4 linked regions of the Ovis aries genome follow. The protein of the gene in region 4 interacts with the protein of the main gene of each other region in a pairwise test. Links are inferred from orthologs where the notes say so. Each region holds a gene or a part of one and is shown on either strand. Other genes may lie near its edges.

Region 1 (4,356 bases), on a different chromosome or scaffold from region 4:
CATGTATGGATGTGAGAGTTGGACCATAAAGGCAGCTGAGTGCTGAAGAATCAATGCTTTTGAACTGTGGTGCTGGAGAAGACTCTTGAGAGTCCTTTGGACTCCAAGAGTGAGCCAGTCAATCCTAAGGAAAATCAACCCTGAATATTCACAGGAAGGACTGGCGCTGAAGCTGAAGCTCCAATACTTTGGCCACCTGATGCAAAAAGCCAACTCACTGGAAAAGACCTTGATGCTGGGAAAGATTGAGGGCAGGAGGAGAAGGGGGTGACAGAGGATGAAATGGCTGGATGGGATCATCAACTCAATGGACATGAGTTTGAGCAAACTCTAAGAGATTGTGAAGGATAGGGAAGCCTGACATGCTGCAGTCCTTGGGGTACAAAGAATCAGACGGGACTTGGTGACTGAACAACAACACAGTGAAAAGAACTGCCAACTCCTCCCCAGCTGAGACTCCTCCAGGCTAAGCAAGTCCCCCTCCTTTTATCTTAGTATTAAGCAATAATTACTTCTAATCTGCAAATGTACTCTTTCACCCCACACTTTATTTCATCTGAACCTGACCACTCTCATTTCATACTTAAGGTTACTCTCCATGATAAGCACTTGGATGTAGAATAAGGAATGTACCTTAAAAAAATTTTTTTTCAAGGCCACATTCATGTGGCATTGGGGATCTTAGAACCTCAATCAGAGATCAAACCTGTGGCCCCTGCAGTGAAAGCATGGAGTCTTAACCCCATAACTGTCAGGGAATTCCCAGGAATGTACCACTTTTACTAAATGTCTTCTCTCATTTCTCACAGCCCTAGGCCTTTTGACTATCATGAATTGAACCCTTCAATTTTAGTCAGACTATTACAAACTACTAAATTCTTAGGGCTCATAAGAAATGCAATCATTTGGGGAAGAATCTGAAAATGAATATATATATAAAAAACGGAATCACTGTGCTGTACACCTAACACAACATTGTAAATCAACTACACATCATGTTTTTTTATATTTCAGTTAAAAACAAAAAAAGAAATGCAATTATTTTGTCGTTGGGGAGTGGTTACTAAGCAACACAACAAACCCTGCTGAAGTAAAAGATGAGTGTATTCATGCAATTTCTGGCCTTTCTTCTAATCAGAAACTCAGCTGCAGAACATAGACCCCTGGGCGCTCTGCTGCTGGTCTTGAAGACTCTGTAACCATTCTTTCTGTTCCTGCAGATGGAAGACAAATGCTTGGGAGAGGAAGCTAGAAATTAGAAGACAGGAAGATCACTGCTTTAACTACATACAAACTGTCAGGTCCTCAGGTCCTCTCTCAGGATGTGAAAGATTCTAAGTTCCAAGATTATGGGAGGAGACCTTCATTTGGGTCAAATCATAATAATGTCCTAAGCTTCACACTTGACGCAACAGCAGAGGGCAGAGGAAACAGATGTGAAAACAAATGATTTCTAAGACAAAGGGAGGAAAAAAAAGAACCTAGAAAACCCAATAGAGAATCCTGGCAGGATCTCAGGAAAAAAAACAGGAAGTTTGTTTCTTAAATTCCCAGGGCTTACAGGCTGATGAGTGATGGATACTCACACATCAGGCTTTCTGAGAGGAGGAAATCCCACTCCTCCTCTTAAGGCCATTCTTGCCTTACCTTCCGCTTATTGTGGTAGGCGATATAGAGGGCAGCGACGAGAATGGCTGCTGTCACCAGATATGCAAAAAAGTGGCTGCTCTCTGCATTGGCATTTCCAAGGTTATCCTTATAAAGGTCATCCTTCTTACTCCAGGTATTCGAAAGTGTCCCTTCACGGTTCTCTCTGGAGGCAGGGCCAACCATTTCTTTCCCTTCTTTGGGTGGTGCGTCTTCCTCTGGCTCTGCATCCCCTTCTTCAGTCTCCTTGGGCTCCACATCTTCAGTTAATTCTAAAGGCTTACCTCCTCCCTCCCGCTGGGGAGAAGAGGGGTCTGCCAACACTTTCCCCCCAGGTTCAGTTCTGGAAGTCTGCAGAGCTTTGCCAGCGACTGTGTTTACATGAACCTTGGTGGACTCCTTGTTATCAGAAGAGGGGCTGGAGACCAACTTGTTGGACTGGTCTCTGGGGGAACTGCCAGGGTCGGCTTTCTCGGGGCGCTGCTCGGCTCCTGAATTATCGGAGTGGGTTTCCGCGGGGCGGTGCTCGGCTCCCGAATTGTCAGGGCCGCTTTCCGTCGGGCGCTGCTGCTCGGTTCCCGAATTATCGGAGTGGGTTTCCGCGGGGCGGTGCTCGGCTCCCGAACTGTCAGGGCCGCTTTCCGTCGGGCGCTGCTCAGTTCCCGAATGGTCAGGGTCGGTTTTCGCGGGGCGCTGCGTGGCTCCCGAATTGCCAGGGTCGGTTTTCGCGTCGGTCTGATTTAGAAAGGTTTGGTTACTGTGTTCTAGCCTAGACTGAGCGATCAAGACCTGCTGCCTGGAGCTTCCTGCAGAAGCCTGATCTTCCTTCTGAGCGGTTGTTCCGGCGCCTGGAGCAGAATTGAGCTGCGAGTCTGAAACAGAGAAACTATCTGGCTGAAGAGAGGCAGTCGGGGAGAAAGAACTCCTCAGAACGTTGCAACGGGCAAAAGGGAGGGGAGTGCTGGCGAGCGGAGCGGTGGCGAGGTTCGGGCAAGGAAGAGTGAGGTCAGGGGCTGACAGGCCACGGTGAAGACGACGGGCCCCGGGGCGACAGTGGGATTACCGGGGGCTGGTCTTGGGACTGCGGTGGGGTGGGGGCGGGGGGGAATTCTTACCCGCTGCCGCGACGCTCAGTAACACGAACGCAACCAGGAACCGCATCCTGCACCGACTGTGCTTCCGCCCCCTAATGCTCTCGCGAGATCAGCACGCGGGCTTAGTGTTATGTCCCGCCCCTTCCTGTGTGCGTCGCCGCAGCCACACCCAGGCAAGGGGCAGGGATTGGAAGAAGCCCGGCAAGCTGGTGTTCAGTTGTTTCCCCCGAGGTGTGACTGCTTTTGCTGGTGGCGGGGCTGTATTGCGTGTAGAAGGCGTATTTGTCTTTTCCTGCTTTCGTAGCTCCGCAGCGGCCGCTACAAACTTAGTCCCCCTTTCCTTCTTTGCTGTCATATTTACGAGACAATACTGGCGAAGCAGGCGCTCCCTGGCCCACGGACGTAACCACGGGAGTGAAGTCGTTGGGGCCTGGTGCTTGCTCGCTCCTATCCTCTGCCTGCCTTTCTGCCTTCTCCCTCCCTCATGGTTCTTTCCCTGCAGCGCACAGACGTGTGGAAATCTGGAAACAGACACCCACCCTGTCACCTTTGTAGCGGGAGCCTTCGCAACCCTGCTCGCTCTTTTGACCCCCGACGGAAACGGTGTCAAAGATCTTTTCTAAAAAGTTCATCTGTTTTCTGATCGTGTAAATTACTCATTCACGCTAGAAAATTCACTGAATGTGTACAAGTAGAAAACAGAATCTCTGCCTCACGCTTCCAGAGTAGTGACTATCAACGTTTTAGTGTATTTTTGTCTTGCAAACGATATATTTGATTAGGTAATATAATCTAACGGTTAAAAAAATGGGATTTATTTTTCGAAAAGTTCACATTAGAAAGTTACTGAAGCAATTATCTTTAAATGAAAAACCTCAAAAAGTTCTTGTGGGATTTCTCTTGTGGTTCAGTGGTTAAGAATCCACCTGCGAATGAAGAGGACATGAGTCATCCTTGGTCCCATGGGGCAACTAAGCCGGTGGGCCGCAACTACTGAAGCCAGTGACCTAGAGCCAGCGCAACAAGAGAAGTTGTGACAATGAGAAGCCCCTGTTCTCTGCAGCAAGAGGAAGCCTGAGCAGCGAATAATAGATAATAGAATGTTTTTGCTCTCTAGCCCTCCTCCACAAGTTCCTATTCAGTGATTTTTTAAAACAAATACAATTAGGATAAATATAAATATACTCCCGCCCCCTGTTTCTTAAGTAGTGTGTTTTCACCGTCTTTTATTCTATAATCATTTTCTCCCAAATTGCAATTATTGGATATATCGTTTTGTATCATGCTGTTTAAGATTTCTGTTGTGTTCATACAGGCTATGGGAAGAAAATAGTGTGTTTAGGAGTTAAACATTTAGGAGGCTGTTGCAGTAGTCCTAGAAGGACTAGCATAGGTATGGTGAGAATAGAGGGAAGTGGTTGGGCTCAATATAAATTTGGGAGGAAATACCAACAGGCCTTGGAGATAGATTGGCTATGGGAGGGAGGTGTGATGTGAGGAAGATGTGGAAAACCAGATTTAATACGATTGGGGCACTAAAAGTGAATTTATTCTTGCCTGTGAGACAGTCAAGTAGAAATAACAGAGAGGTAGCTGGAAACATGAGCATCAAACG
Region 2 (3,916 bases), on a different chromosome or scaffold from region 4:
GAGTCAGACACAAAAGGCCACCTATTGTGTGATTCCTTTTACATGAAATGAGCAGAACAGCCAAAGTCATAGAGACAGAAAGCAGAGCGGTGCTTGACAGGGACTGGGGAGGGTCTACCCAATACTACAAGATTTCCTTTTGGGAATGTCCCGGGACTAGATAGTGGTCATAGTTGTACAGTGTTGTGACTGTACTAAATGTCCCTGAATCGAACACTTTAAAATGGTTAATTTTATATTATTTGTTACATGTAATAAAAAAAAAAACGTACCTGTTAAGGATTTCTAACAGGGAGGCCCCTAGAGCTTCCCTGGTGATCCAGTGGTTAACAATCCACTTGCCAATGCAAAGAACATAAATTTAATCCCTGGTCTGGGACTAGCCCACGTGCCACAACTACCAAAGCCCATATGTCCTAAAGCCAGTGCTCCTCAATAAGATAAGCCATTGCCAAGAGCAGCCTGCCCACTGCAACAAAAAGTAAGCCCCGTTTGCCACAACCAGGGAAAGCCTACATGTAGCAACAAAGACCCAGCTCAGCGAAAAGTTAACTAATTTTTAAAGAAGAGTGAGGACCTCAGACTGTGCAGCACTGGGTGTTACCAGTGTTGTAAATCTTGGCTGATCTTGCAGGTGGGATATTTGTGTTTTAATTTAGAGCCTTTTAATTATCAGTGATATCCAGTAGCTTTTCAAATGTTGATTGGAAATTTGAATGGACTGTGTGCTTGTGTTTGATTCTATTGTATCATATCCTGCTTTAGTTGTAAAGGCTTTCAACTTTTACATTGCAAATATTTTCTAGCAGTTCAATATCTTCACTTTATATGCCAAAAATATTTCTTTTGGGTTCTGATTGAAGTTACATCAGGGATGGATTGATCCAGAAAGAGTGGTAATTCAGTCTATAGCTCTGAGTTTCTTGCTTACACCTCTCGGGTCCCAGTGGATATATGTTGTGTGTGTTCTTTGGTCAAGTTTTCTATTTCGCTCGCAACTTATCTTCTTAGTAATGCTCTTAGGTATAGTTTGGGCTGCGGTAAAGCTAGGCATCTTTCCCTATGTATTCTCACACTGTCAAGGCTGGCGTGAAGTGGGAGCGGCTGCAGTGGCTGGGAACTTGTCTCACGCTCAGCCCCTCCCTCCGTGAACGTGACTTAAGAACCCTGGCAGGCATTCAGCAGAAACTTGCGTCTTGCATCCTCCACAAGTTTTCTGGAGCCAAACAAAGAACAGATGGGAAAACAGACTCTTGCAACGTACTCACATGTTTAATGAGTAAAAGCTAATTGTAGAAAACACAGCAGCCCTAATGAGGGTCAGCTCCAAACAGCAACAAGGAAGGGAGAGCGTGGGAGCCTCCGACCAGGGCCACGCGCATACTCAGGGCGGGTATAAAAGCAGACACCCTCAGCACTTCACTCACACACTCACACACACTTACACCTCCTCCAGCCGTACCACCTCCACCATGGCCTTCTCTAACCTGTCTGCTTGCTCCAGCGACCTGAGCTACAGCAGCCGGATCTGCCTGCCTGGATCCTGTGACTCCTGCACCGGCTCCTCCTGGCAGGTGGATGACTGTCCAGAGAGCTGCTGCGAGCCCCCCTGCTGTGCCCCCAGCTGCTGCACCTCGGCCCCCCGCCTGACCCTCCTCTGCGCCCCAGTGAGTTGTGAGTCCAGCCCCTGCTGCCAGCCAGCCTGCAGCAGCTCCTGCCCAGCCTCATGTGGCCAGCAGTCCAGCTGCCAGTCCTCCTGCTGCACCTCCTCCCGCTGCCAGCAGGCCTGCTGTGAACCTGTCTGCTGTGAGCCTGTCTGCTGCAGGCCCGTCTGCTGCAGGCCTGTCTGCTGTACACCTGTCTGCTGCACACCTGTCTGCTGCAGGCCTGTCTGCTGTGAGGCCTCCCCCTTCTCAACCTCCTCATGTTGCCAGCAGTCCAGCTGCCAGCCCTCCTGCTGCACCTCCTCCTGCTGCCAGCAGGCCTGCTGTGAGCCCGTCTGCTGCAGGCCTGTCTGCTGTACACCTGTTTGCTGCAGGCCCGTGTGCTGTGAGACCTCCCCCTGCTCAGCCCCCTCATCCTGCTGCAGACCCTCCTCTTCCGTGTCCCTCCTCTGCCGTCCTGTGTGCCGCCCCGTGTGCGGCCCCACCTGCTGTGTGCCCGCCTCCTCTTGCAAGCCCAGCTTCTGCCGCCCGGCCTCCTCTGTGTCCCTCCTCTGCCGCCCTGCGTGCCGCCTCGCCTGCTGTGTGCCCACCTCCTCCTGCCAGCCAAGCTGCTGCCGCCCAGCCTCCTCTGTGTCCCTGCTCTGCCGGCCTGCATGCTCCCGCCTGGCCTGCGGCATCCCCACCTCAGCCCCGGAGCTCTGCTGCTGACCGGCCAATCACCCGCCCTCCACAAGCTGCTGTCTCTCTCCCAAGCTCCAGGAGCCCCTCTGCTGGCGCCAGGACCTCCCCTCTCCCAAAGTTGGACACGCAGCTGCTGCCCAGAGAGGATTCGAACTTGGCAGGCATCTCAGAAAGCCCTTGACAGGGTGGACTGTGGGGCCCCAGGAGCCTCCTCTGCAGGACAGGCTGCTTGAATCCCATATGACAAACATCAGCTGCTCTAATGAATAAAGCGTTTGTGTCAGGAAATATGGACCCATGTCTGTTTTGGCCTCCTCCCTTGGGCCCCCTCAGCCCCTCCAAATATGGCCTGTAGGTGCTCTGCTGGCAGAAGCCAGGCAGTAAAGACACATTCTCCCATCCGAGTTCAAAGCAGCTGAGAAACAACAGGATCTGAAAGCTGGTGCCATTCACACATTCTATGTCCCTTCCTACCCCAGGCTCACTCTCCCTGCAGTGGACGGCCCTTCAAGGCTGACATGGAGGCGGGTGTGGGTGCAGAAGGCTCAGATCCTGAGTGGGCCCTGGGTTCCTCCCCCTGCCCATGCAGGTTGAGGGTGACTTGGGGAGCAGCAGAAACCCTCCTGGGTCTGGATCGGAGAGTCCAGGGTAAGTGCTGTTGGAGAGACGTGCCAACACTGAGGAGGAGATTCTGGGGGCTCCAAGGGGGTGCAGTGTCAATTTAGACATCACTCATTCTACTCAAGGTTTCAAAGCCTGACCGAGGAGGGACAGAACAAAAGAGACGCCTTGTGAACAAACCCTCAGGACAGTAGGGGAGAAAGAGCCTGCAGTCTTAGTGGACATTAGCAATAGAGGAAGTGGGCACCAGTCAGCACCAGTCAACTACTTATCCCCCACCAGAAACAGACTGATGAGGCCCATAGGAGCAGGAGAACAGTGGTGGCTGGGGCAAGAGGGACCAGGAACTGAAGGCATCTCCCCAGGGGATACTATCCCCACCCCAGCTCAGTTCCATCCAGGAAAGAGGGAATGGAGCAAAACCCTAAGAGGACTGGTAAACAGGTGTCCTGCCTCAACTCGTAAATCTCTTTCCTGAGTTTACTCAAGACAAGTACCATTTTTCTCCTTTGCCTTTAGCTTCTTTTCTTTTCTCACCTATTTGTAAAGTCTCCTCAGATAACCATTTTTGCCTTTTTGCATTTCTTTTGGTTGGGGATGGTCTTAATCACTGTCAAGTGATCAAAGGCAAAGGAGAAAAGGAAAGATATACCCATTTGGATGCAGAGTTCCAAAGAATAAAAGGAGAGATAAGAAAGCCTTCCTCAGTGATCAGTGCAAAGAAAAAGAGGAAAACAATAGAATGAGAAAGACCAGAGGTCTCTTCAAGAAAATTAGAGATACTAAGGGAACATTTCATGCAAAGATGGGCTCAATAAAGGACAGAAATGGTATGGACCTAACAGAAGCAGGAGATATTAAGAAGAGGTGGCAAGAATACACAGAAGGACTATGCAAAAAAGGTCTTCACGACCCAGATAACCACGATGGTGTGATCACTCACCTAGAAC
Region 3 (4,170 bases), on a different chromosome or scaffold from region 4:
TTTCAGGATTTGAAATAGCTCCACTGGAACTCCATCACCTCCACTAGCTTTGTTCCTAGTGATGCTTTCTAAGGCCCACTTGACTTCACATTCCAGGATGTCTGGCTCTAGGTGAATGATCACACCATCGTGATTATCTTGGTTGTGAAGATCTTTTTTGTATAGTTCTCCTGTGTATTCTTGCCACCTCTTCTTAATATCTTCTGCTTCTGTTAGGTCCATACCATTTTTACCCTTTATCGAGCCCATCTTTGGATGAAATGTTCCCTTGGTGTCTCTAATTTTCTTGAAGAGATCTCTAGTCTTTCCCATTCTGTTGTTTTCCTCTATTTCTTTGCATTGATCGTTGAAGAAGGCTTTCTTGTCTCTTCTTGCTATTCTTTGAAATTCTGCATTCAGATGCTTGTATCTTTCCTTTTTTCCTTTGCTTTTCGCTTCTCTTCTTTTCACAGCTATTTGTAAGGCCTCCCCAGACAGCCATTTTGCTTTTTTGCATTTCTTTTCCATGGGTATCGTCTTGATCCCTGTCTCCTGTACAATGTCACGAACCTCAGTCCATAGTTCATCAGGCACTCTATCTATCAGATCTAGGCCCTTAAATCTATTTCTCACTTCCACTGTATAATCATAAGGGATTTGATTTAGGTCATACCTGAATGGTGTAGCGGATTTCCCTAGTTTCTTCAATTTAAGTCTGAATTTGGCAATAAGGAGTTCATGATCTGAGCCACAGTCAGCTCCTGGTCCTGTTTTTGTTGACTGTATAGAGCTTCTCCATCTTTGGCTGCAAAGAATATAATCAATCTGATTTTGGTGTTGACCATCTGGTGATGTCCATGTGTAGAATCTTCTCTTGTGTTGTTGGAAAAAGGTGTTTGCTATGACCAGTGCATTTTCTTGGCAAAACTCTTGTTAGTCTTTGCCCTGCTTCATTCCGCATTCCAAGGCCAAATTTGCCTGTTACTCCAGGTGTTTCTTGACTTCCTACTTTTGCATTCCAGTCCCCTATAATGAAAAGGACATGTTTTTTGGGTGTTAGTTCTAAAAGGTCTTGTAGGTCTTCATAGAACGGTTCAACTTCAGCTTCTTCAGCGTTACTGGTTGGGGCATAGACTTGGATTATTTAGCACTCCTCTCCGCAAATGTCAGCTTTGGCCCTAGAGTACCTACAGGAGACTGACATGCTCCGGGTTGTACTGCGCAGCCGCGGGTTCTCTCGGAGCACGCTCCTGACGCCCCGCCCCGAATGCGAGTCCCGCATGCGCACATCGCTTTCTCTCAGACGCACCCCCGGAAGCACTGGCAGTTTTGCGGGGGGGACCGGTAAGCGTTTCCGGAGGCGGGAGGCGCAGGCTGAGGCGGTCGCGGCAGCTACGGCTTGAGCGGGCCCGGCGCCGGCTGCGGCGGAAAGTATCCCACCGGCGGGCTATGTGAGCGCCGAGCCCTTGGCAGGTATGGCAGAGTCAGGACCACGCGTAGCAAGGGGGCAGGAATGGAAACCGGAGAGGTTTGAGGGGTTCTCTCCAGGTTCCGGCGCGCTCACCGCTGACACCGTCAGGCCCATTACGCCGACCGGGATGCCGAAGCCGCACGCGGGACCGTTGGAGTCCCGGCGCTCCGGGTCCCACTTCTGCGGTCTCTGGCCAGCCCGGAGCTCGTGCAGCGACACCGAGGCCCCCGAGGCAGAGTCTCGTCCAAGGTCACCCTCCGGTGACGGACCTCGGCGGGCCAGAGCGCTTAGAGATCCCGCCACCCCCTCTTCCCCCGTCAGACCGCCCCTCCGGCCTTTCAGGGGCGCGGAGTGGGCGCGGCTTGGCGACCTCTCGTTTGAGTCAAAGCCAGGAGAAAGACTGCGCTTGGGACTTCGCTGATCCTGGTCTCTTTACCTCTGCGTTTCACCTCTCTTGCTGTCTGTCACCTGTCATCGCCTGCCCTTTATGCCTATTAACTCGGCCTCTGTCAGCTTTGTGTTTCTCTCGAGCCCAACTCCGAGTATTTGGGTCCTGTCTTCATTTCTGTTTCCACCTTCTGTGTCCCTTGACCCTGTGTTTCCCTCTTAGTCTTTACTCTGGTTGACGGCCTGCCTGTCGGTCCAGCTCTTTACTCATTCTGTGTTTCTCTGCCAGTCGTGTGTCTTTCTCTCTTGTTTCTGCCTCTCCTCAGAGGTTTCTCTGGGCGGGGCGGCCTGCCCGGACCTCTCAGCCATGGCAGGTGACTCATGACCCTGTGAAGCTTCCTACACTGGTGACATGATCAGAGGCTAGACTGCAGTCTGACCTCAGCTCTGACAGGTGTCGCCGAAACGGTCAGGGTGTAGGAGCTTCTGGAGGACAGAGAGAAGGCCATCTGCAAGCTAAATTAGCTTGATGAATCCTTACTTTTTCTTACCCATGGTTTTTCAGAACTGCCGACTCTTACTTCCCTTTGCTCCATTCACGTGCCTTCCAGGGTTCTAAGGAGCCTGCTCTCTGAGTTACCACTGCCTAACCAAGCCTGTGTACAGGCTGAGGAAGGGTCTGTCAGAGATCCTCTGCCCGTTGGGGCTCGTGGGGCAGTAGCAGGATTTCTGGGAGAGCTGTGTGCTTAGTTTGAAGATCATGTCACTATGTACAGTTAAATTGTGAGAAACCTAGTCGCTTGGGGTTCATTCTTTGCTCTACAAAAGTATTCAGTGGAGAAGTAAGCTGGACCCAAAAGAGCAAATATTGAATGAGTCCGCTTAAATGAGGTATCTGGAATAGGCAAAATCATGGAGACAGAAAGTGGAGTATAGTTTTGCCAGGGGCTGAGGGTGTTGGCAAAATCTTGGCTCTCTGTGCACCAGTGCCCAACAGAAATACAGAGTCATGGAAGAGAAGGAAAGAGTGGCTTTACTGCTTTGCCAGGCAAACGGCTAGCGCCTCAAGAGCTGTGCCCCACTCCCAGGTGAATAGAGAGAGGTTATATAGTCAGACTGGGATGTGTGATTTTTCCAGTAGTCATGTATGGATGTGAGAGTTGGACTGTGAAGAAGGCTGAGCACCGAAGAATTGATGCTTTTGAGCTGTGGTGTTGGAGAAGACTCTTGAGAGTCCCTTGGACTGCAAGGAGATCCAACCAGTCCATTCTGAAGATCAACCCTGAGATTTCTTTGGAAGGAATGGTGCTAAAGCTGAAACTGCAGTACTTTGGCCACCTTATGCGAAGAGTTGACTTTGATGCTGGGAGGGATTGGGGGCAGGAGGAGAAGGGGACGACAGAGGATGAGATGGCTGGATGGCATCACTGACTCGGTGGACGTGAGTCTGAGTGAACTCCAGGAGTTGGTGATGGACAGGGAGGCCTGGCATGCTGCGATTCATGGGGTCGCAAAGAGTCGGACATGACTGAGCGACTGAACTGAACTGGGATGTGTGATACGATTAAGGCAGTAACAGTCTTGCATTATTATGCAAAGTTTCAAAAGGGCGGGGTTGCTGACAAGATTAGGGTGTGTGCAGGGTCTTAGGTGGGCTTCCCAGGGGGCACAGTGGTAAAAAATCCACCTGCCAATGCAGGAGACTCAAGAGACTTGGGTTCAGTCCCTGGGTTGGGAAGATTCCCTTGGGGTATAAATAGCAACCCTCTCGAGTATTCTTGCCTGGAAAATCCAATGGACAGAGGAGCCTAGTGGGATCTATTCTGCAGGGTCACTGAGCACAAACACACAAGCAGGGTCTTGGGTTCATTCTCCTAATCTTGATGAGCCTCTCTGGTCCCTTTAATCTTACCTCAGGTGATTTCTTGGCTGCTCCTCCCTTAATTAGCAACTGTTCTGCCCTTTGGAACTAAGAACGTTGTGGAGGCTGGAGTCTTGCCTATGAGAAATGGAGGACAAAAAGACCTCAGTGTCCTGGAGCCCCACAGGGCCCTGCTCAACATCAAGGGGGAGGAGAGGATGGAATATTATTTAATGGATACAGGGTTTTAGTTTGGGATGATGAAAAAATTCTGCAGACAGATAATGGTGATGGTTGCACAACTGCATGAATGTGCTTAATGCCACTAATTGTAAACTTTAAATGGTCACAGTGGTAAATTTTATGTTAAGTATATTTTACCACAGTACCAAAAAAGTTGTTGAATGCAGATTCCTGAAACTAACAAGCTCTTTGAAAATGTGATTTTTAAAATTCCATTCTGTAGCTTTTA
Region 4 (3,617 bases):
TTAGAAGAAAACTTAGGAGAAAAATCTGTGACCTTGGGTTTGGCAATGAGTTCTCAGACATGGCACCAAGAGCATAATCAGTTTAAAATTTTGATATTTTGGTTTTTTTCCTGAATATTTTTTTCTGTGGACCACTTTTAAATCCTTTATTGAATTTGTTATAACACTGTTTCCGTTTTGTTCTGGTTTCTGGCTGAAAAGTATGTGAGATCTTGGATCCTCAATCGGGATCAAAGCTGTACCCCCTTCATTGGAAGGTGAAGTGGTAACCAACTGGACTGCCAGGGAAGCCCCAAAATACTGGATATGTGGACCTTCTCAAAAACCTCTGCTCTGTGAAAGACAACGCCAACAGAATGAAAAATGACAGACTCAGGAGAAATATTTGCAGATCACACATCACATTGGATAAAGACAAAAAAAAAAAAAGACTTTATCCAACACAAAGAACTGTCAAAACTCAACAATCAGAAAACAAACTCAACTTAAAAATGATCAGAGACATGAAGAGACACACCTCCAAAGATATATGGATGAGAAAGAGGCATACAGAAAGATGCTCAACATCATTAGCCATTAGGGAAATGTGCATTAAAGCCATGATGAGATGCCTAGCAGAATGGCAAAAATAAAACCGTTGAGCAAGGCTGTGGAGCAACTGGAATTCTCACCCACTGCTGGTGAAAATGCAAAAATGTTACTGGAGAGTAGATGGACAGTTTCCTATAAAGTCAAACATACACTTACCATATGACCCAGCAATCCCACTCCTGGGTATTTGCCCTAGAGAGATGGAAACTTCTGTCTACACATAAATCTATACAGAAATGCTCATAGCAACTCTTCACAATTGCCAAACACTGGAAACAACCCAGATGTCCTCTGATGGGTGAATGGATAAACCAACTGTGATTCAGAGTATAAAATAAATGAACCAAAGAAGACATAAACTTTGGATAAACAGAGCAATTTGGATGAATCTCAAGGCCATATATTGAAAGAAGTCAGATTCAAACTGACACACTCTGTTCGACTCCACTCATCTGACAATCTCAGGAAGACCAAGCTGTGACGGAGGCCGCAGGAGCAGCTGCCAGGGGCGGGAACAGGCGGAGGGCGTGGCTGCCGAGAGGCAGCATGGGCGAGGTGTTTGAGGTGATGGAGCTGTTCTGATGCCCGGTTATGATAATGGGTACAAGTCTGTACACGTGCTAAATTCACAGAAGATGTGGTCAGTTACCAACTAACAATAACTTAATAAACAAAATGAAAGAAAACAATAAGAACCAAACCCCAAGCAACTCCAAAAGCCAGCTGTAGAACTACACCTTACGTTCTCAGTTTTCCACAAGCAACATGTCTGTAAACCTACAGCAGGAGCGGCCGAAAGATGACAACGAATCCTTCTGTGCTGTGGCCTTTCTGATTGCGGAGCCCTGCGCTTGCTCGCTTTCTAATTATTGCTTCACTTTTGCCTGGAGGCATGCAGGATCCTAGTTCCCCAACCAAGGTCGAACCCAGGCCTCCTGAAGTGGTAGCATCGGGTCAGCCGCTGGCCCACCAGGAAGTCCTGGAGCCCTTGGCTGTCTAACCCTATACATTTCTTTTTTAATGATATGCATGCATTCATTCTAAATAAGGACAGAAACGAACGCAGGTGAAACAAGCTCGGGTTGCAGTGAGCAGCCCTGACCGAATCCCGCCGATCTGCTATCACACAGAAACTGTTTCTCAGGGCCTTGCTAATTTTAAAAGTCAAGTTGCTTTTATTTCCAATCACGAAGAAGACAACATTTTTTAAAAAACAAAGGAAGCCTACCAGGAGATTGACGGACTCAATGACATCCAAGAACACCTCGTTCTTCCGGTACTTGATGCCCTCCGAGCGCCAGGACACTGCGTTGGTGACAGTGGCTGGGGGCCGTGGGGCCCCCGTTTCCAGCTTGTGGCCTTCCTGGGTGATGTACCTGTGGGCCCGGGCTCAGAGTTAGCTGGCTCAGGCACTGCCATATTGAAAACAGCCCCTCCCTGTAGCAGGCGCCAGGAGAGGCAGGCTCTGGTTTCACCTGGGGCCATTTAACACAACAAGATCACGATTTCCAAAACCCCAACAAACTCTTCAGTTACTATGAGGACAGAGATCTCAGTCGCAGGGCAGCAAGGAGACAGCGCTGGTGAGGAAAACAAGTAGTGGGCATGAAATGCTTCCCCGCTGGGCATGAAATGCTTCCCCGCTGGGCATGCAGAGACCACCGACCTCCCTGGGAGAGTAACCTGGTGACCCTGATTCCACTCGCTGTTTAGTCAGAAGTCACGTGCCACCTGACCCTGTGGACTGCAGCCCACTGGGCTCCTCTGCCCATGGGACTTCCCAGGCCAGAACACTGGAGAGGGTTGCCATGCCCTCTTCCAGGGGATCTTCCCAACCCAGGGATCAGACCCATATCTCCTGCATTGACAGGTGGATTCTTTACCACTGAGACACCTGGGAAGCCCGTTTGCTTCCACTTGTGGAACAACAGATATGGGGTGTGCTTAAGTCACACGGCCTCTCAGAGAGTCCCTTCCCCTGTAAGATGGGAAGACAGCAGCTCTGACTAACTGAAATGGAAAAAAGTGCTCACAAGAGGCCTGCTTCCCCAGACGTGCTTAATCAACGGTGACCATTATTTGGTGCCCAGGATTCCAAAGGAGGGAGACTTTTCATCACAATCTCATTTATGACAGTAAAAACAAAGGCAGTGGGACTTCCCGGGTGGTCTGGTGGTTGAGAATCTGCCTTCCAATGGAGGGGACGCAGGTTCGATCCCTGGCCGGGGAACTAAGATTCCACAGGTTATGGGGCAACTAAGCCCATGCCCCTTTACTAGAGAGCCCTCGGGCCGCAAACTACAGGGCCCACTGGCTCTGGAGCCCGCATGCCACAACTAGAGTGGAGCCTGCATGCTGCAAGAAGACCTTGCGTGTGCTAACTGGAACCCAAGGCAGTCAGACCTGAACAAACGTGTTGAAAAACAAAAGCAGAACAGCAGCAGGTGAGTCCCCAGAAACAAGGCACTGAGCGCACTTCTGTGGATGGAAATGAAGGCCCAGCAACAGCAGGCACGCTCACGCCAGGCAGTGATGCTGAGTGGGAAAGGAGCCAGAGCTGCCCCAGGAACTTAGAAAGCTTCTGGTGGGCTGGAGACAGGCAGGGGACCAGCAACGGGAATGCACATCTGCCCCCTGCACCTCCAGACCTGCGCATGACTTCAACACAGTGACATCGCCTGGCCTGACCCCCGCTCAGCCCTGTCCCCGGGCCCCACGCCACCCACTCACTCCTGCAGGATCTTGCTGTCTGTGGTCTGGGGGTAGCCGAAGTCCATGAGCTCGTCCAGCAGCTCGTAGATGATGACGAAGTTGTCTCGAATGCTCTCCTCCTCCAGCTCCTTGAAGTATTCTGAAAATACCTGCAGTGTTGCCGTGGGAGGCAGATCAGTGAGAGGAGGGATGAACGCCTGTACAAGTTCATTTGCACTTCGTGCCCCGAGGCCCCTGCCAACAGCCCTTCTGTTCATAAGCTGTGTTTGCCTGGTTCCCAGGAGTGCTCGGACGAGGTCTTGGGCTCAGGGAAT

Evidence for each region. The genes of interacting proteins can lie anywhere in the genome.
Region 1: the proteins of AP1M1 (region 4) and TGOLN2 interact in a two-hybrid assay, tested with the Homo sapiens proteins (2 studies listed by BioGRID). The link is inferred for Ovis aries from reciprocal best matches to the Homo sapiens genes AP1M1 and TGOLN2.
Region 2: the proteins of AP1M1 (region 4) and keratin-associated protein 10-12-like interact in binary tests that used the Homo sapiens proteins (3 or more experiments, as listed by UniProt). The two-hybrid records come from large-scale screens. The link is inferred for Ovis aries from reciprocal best matches to the Homo sapiens genes AP1M1 and KRTAP10-7.
Region 3: the proteins of AP1M1 (region 4) and ZBTB43 interact in binary tests that used the Homo sapiens proteins (3 or more experiments, as listed by UniProt). The two-hybrid records come from large-scale screens. The link is inferred for Ovis aries from reciprocal best matches to the Homo sapiens genes AP1M1 and ZBTB43.

Annotation. Positions count from the first base shown.
Region 1 is NC_056056.1:57,188,590-57,192,945, reverse strand, and holds the start of TGOLN2 (trans-Golgi network integral membrane protein 2), read right to left. Parts: upstream 2,839-4,356; 5' UTR 2,809-2,838; coding exon 2,763-2,808; intron 2,520-2,762; coding exon 1,648-2,519; intron 1-1,647. UniProt on the Homo sapiens protein: May be involved in regulating membrane traffic to and from trans-Golgi network.
Region 2 is NC_056054.1:262,544,470-262,548,385, forward strand, and holds keratin-associated protein 10-12-like, read left to right. Parts: upstream 1-1,322; 5' UTR 1,323-1,472; coding exon 1,473-2,372; 3' UTR 2,373-3,378; downstream 3,379-3,916. UniProt on the Homo sapiens protein: In the hair cortex, hair keratin intermediate filaments are embedded in an interfilamentous matrix, consisting of hair keratin-associated proteins (KRTAP), which are essential for the formation of a rigid and resistant hair shaft through their extensive disulfide bond cross-linking with abundant cysteine residues of hair keratins.
Region 3 is NC_056056.1:9,310,335-9,314,504, reverse strand, and holds the start of ZBTB43 (zinc finger and BTB domain-containing protein 43), read left to right. Parts: upstream 1-1,332; 5' UTR 1,333-1,452; intron 1,453-4,170. UniProt on the Homo sapiens protein: May be involved in transcriptional regulation.
Region 4 is NC_056058.1:6,589,537-6,593,153, forward strand, and holds part of AP1M1 (AP-1 complex subunit mu-1), read right to left. Parts: intron 3,453-3,617; coding exon 3,322-3,452; intron 1,968-3,321; coding exon 1,820-1,967; intron 1-1,819. UniProt on the Homo sapiens protein: Subunit of clathrin-associated adaptor protein complex 1 that plays a role in protein sorting in the trans-Golgi network (TGN) and endosomes.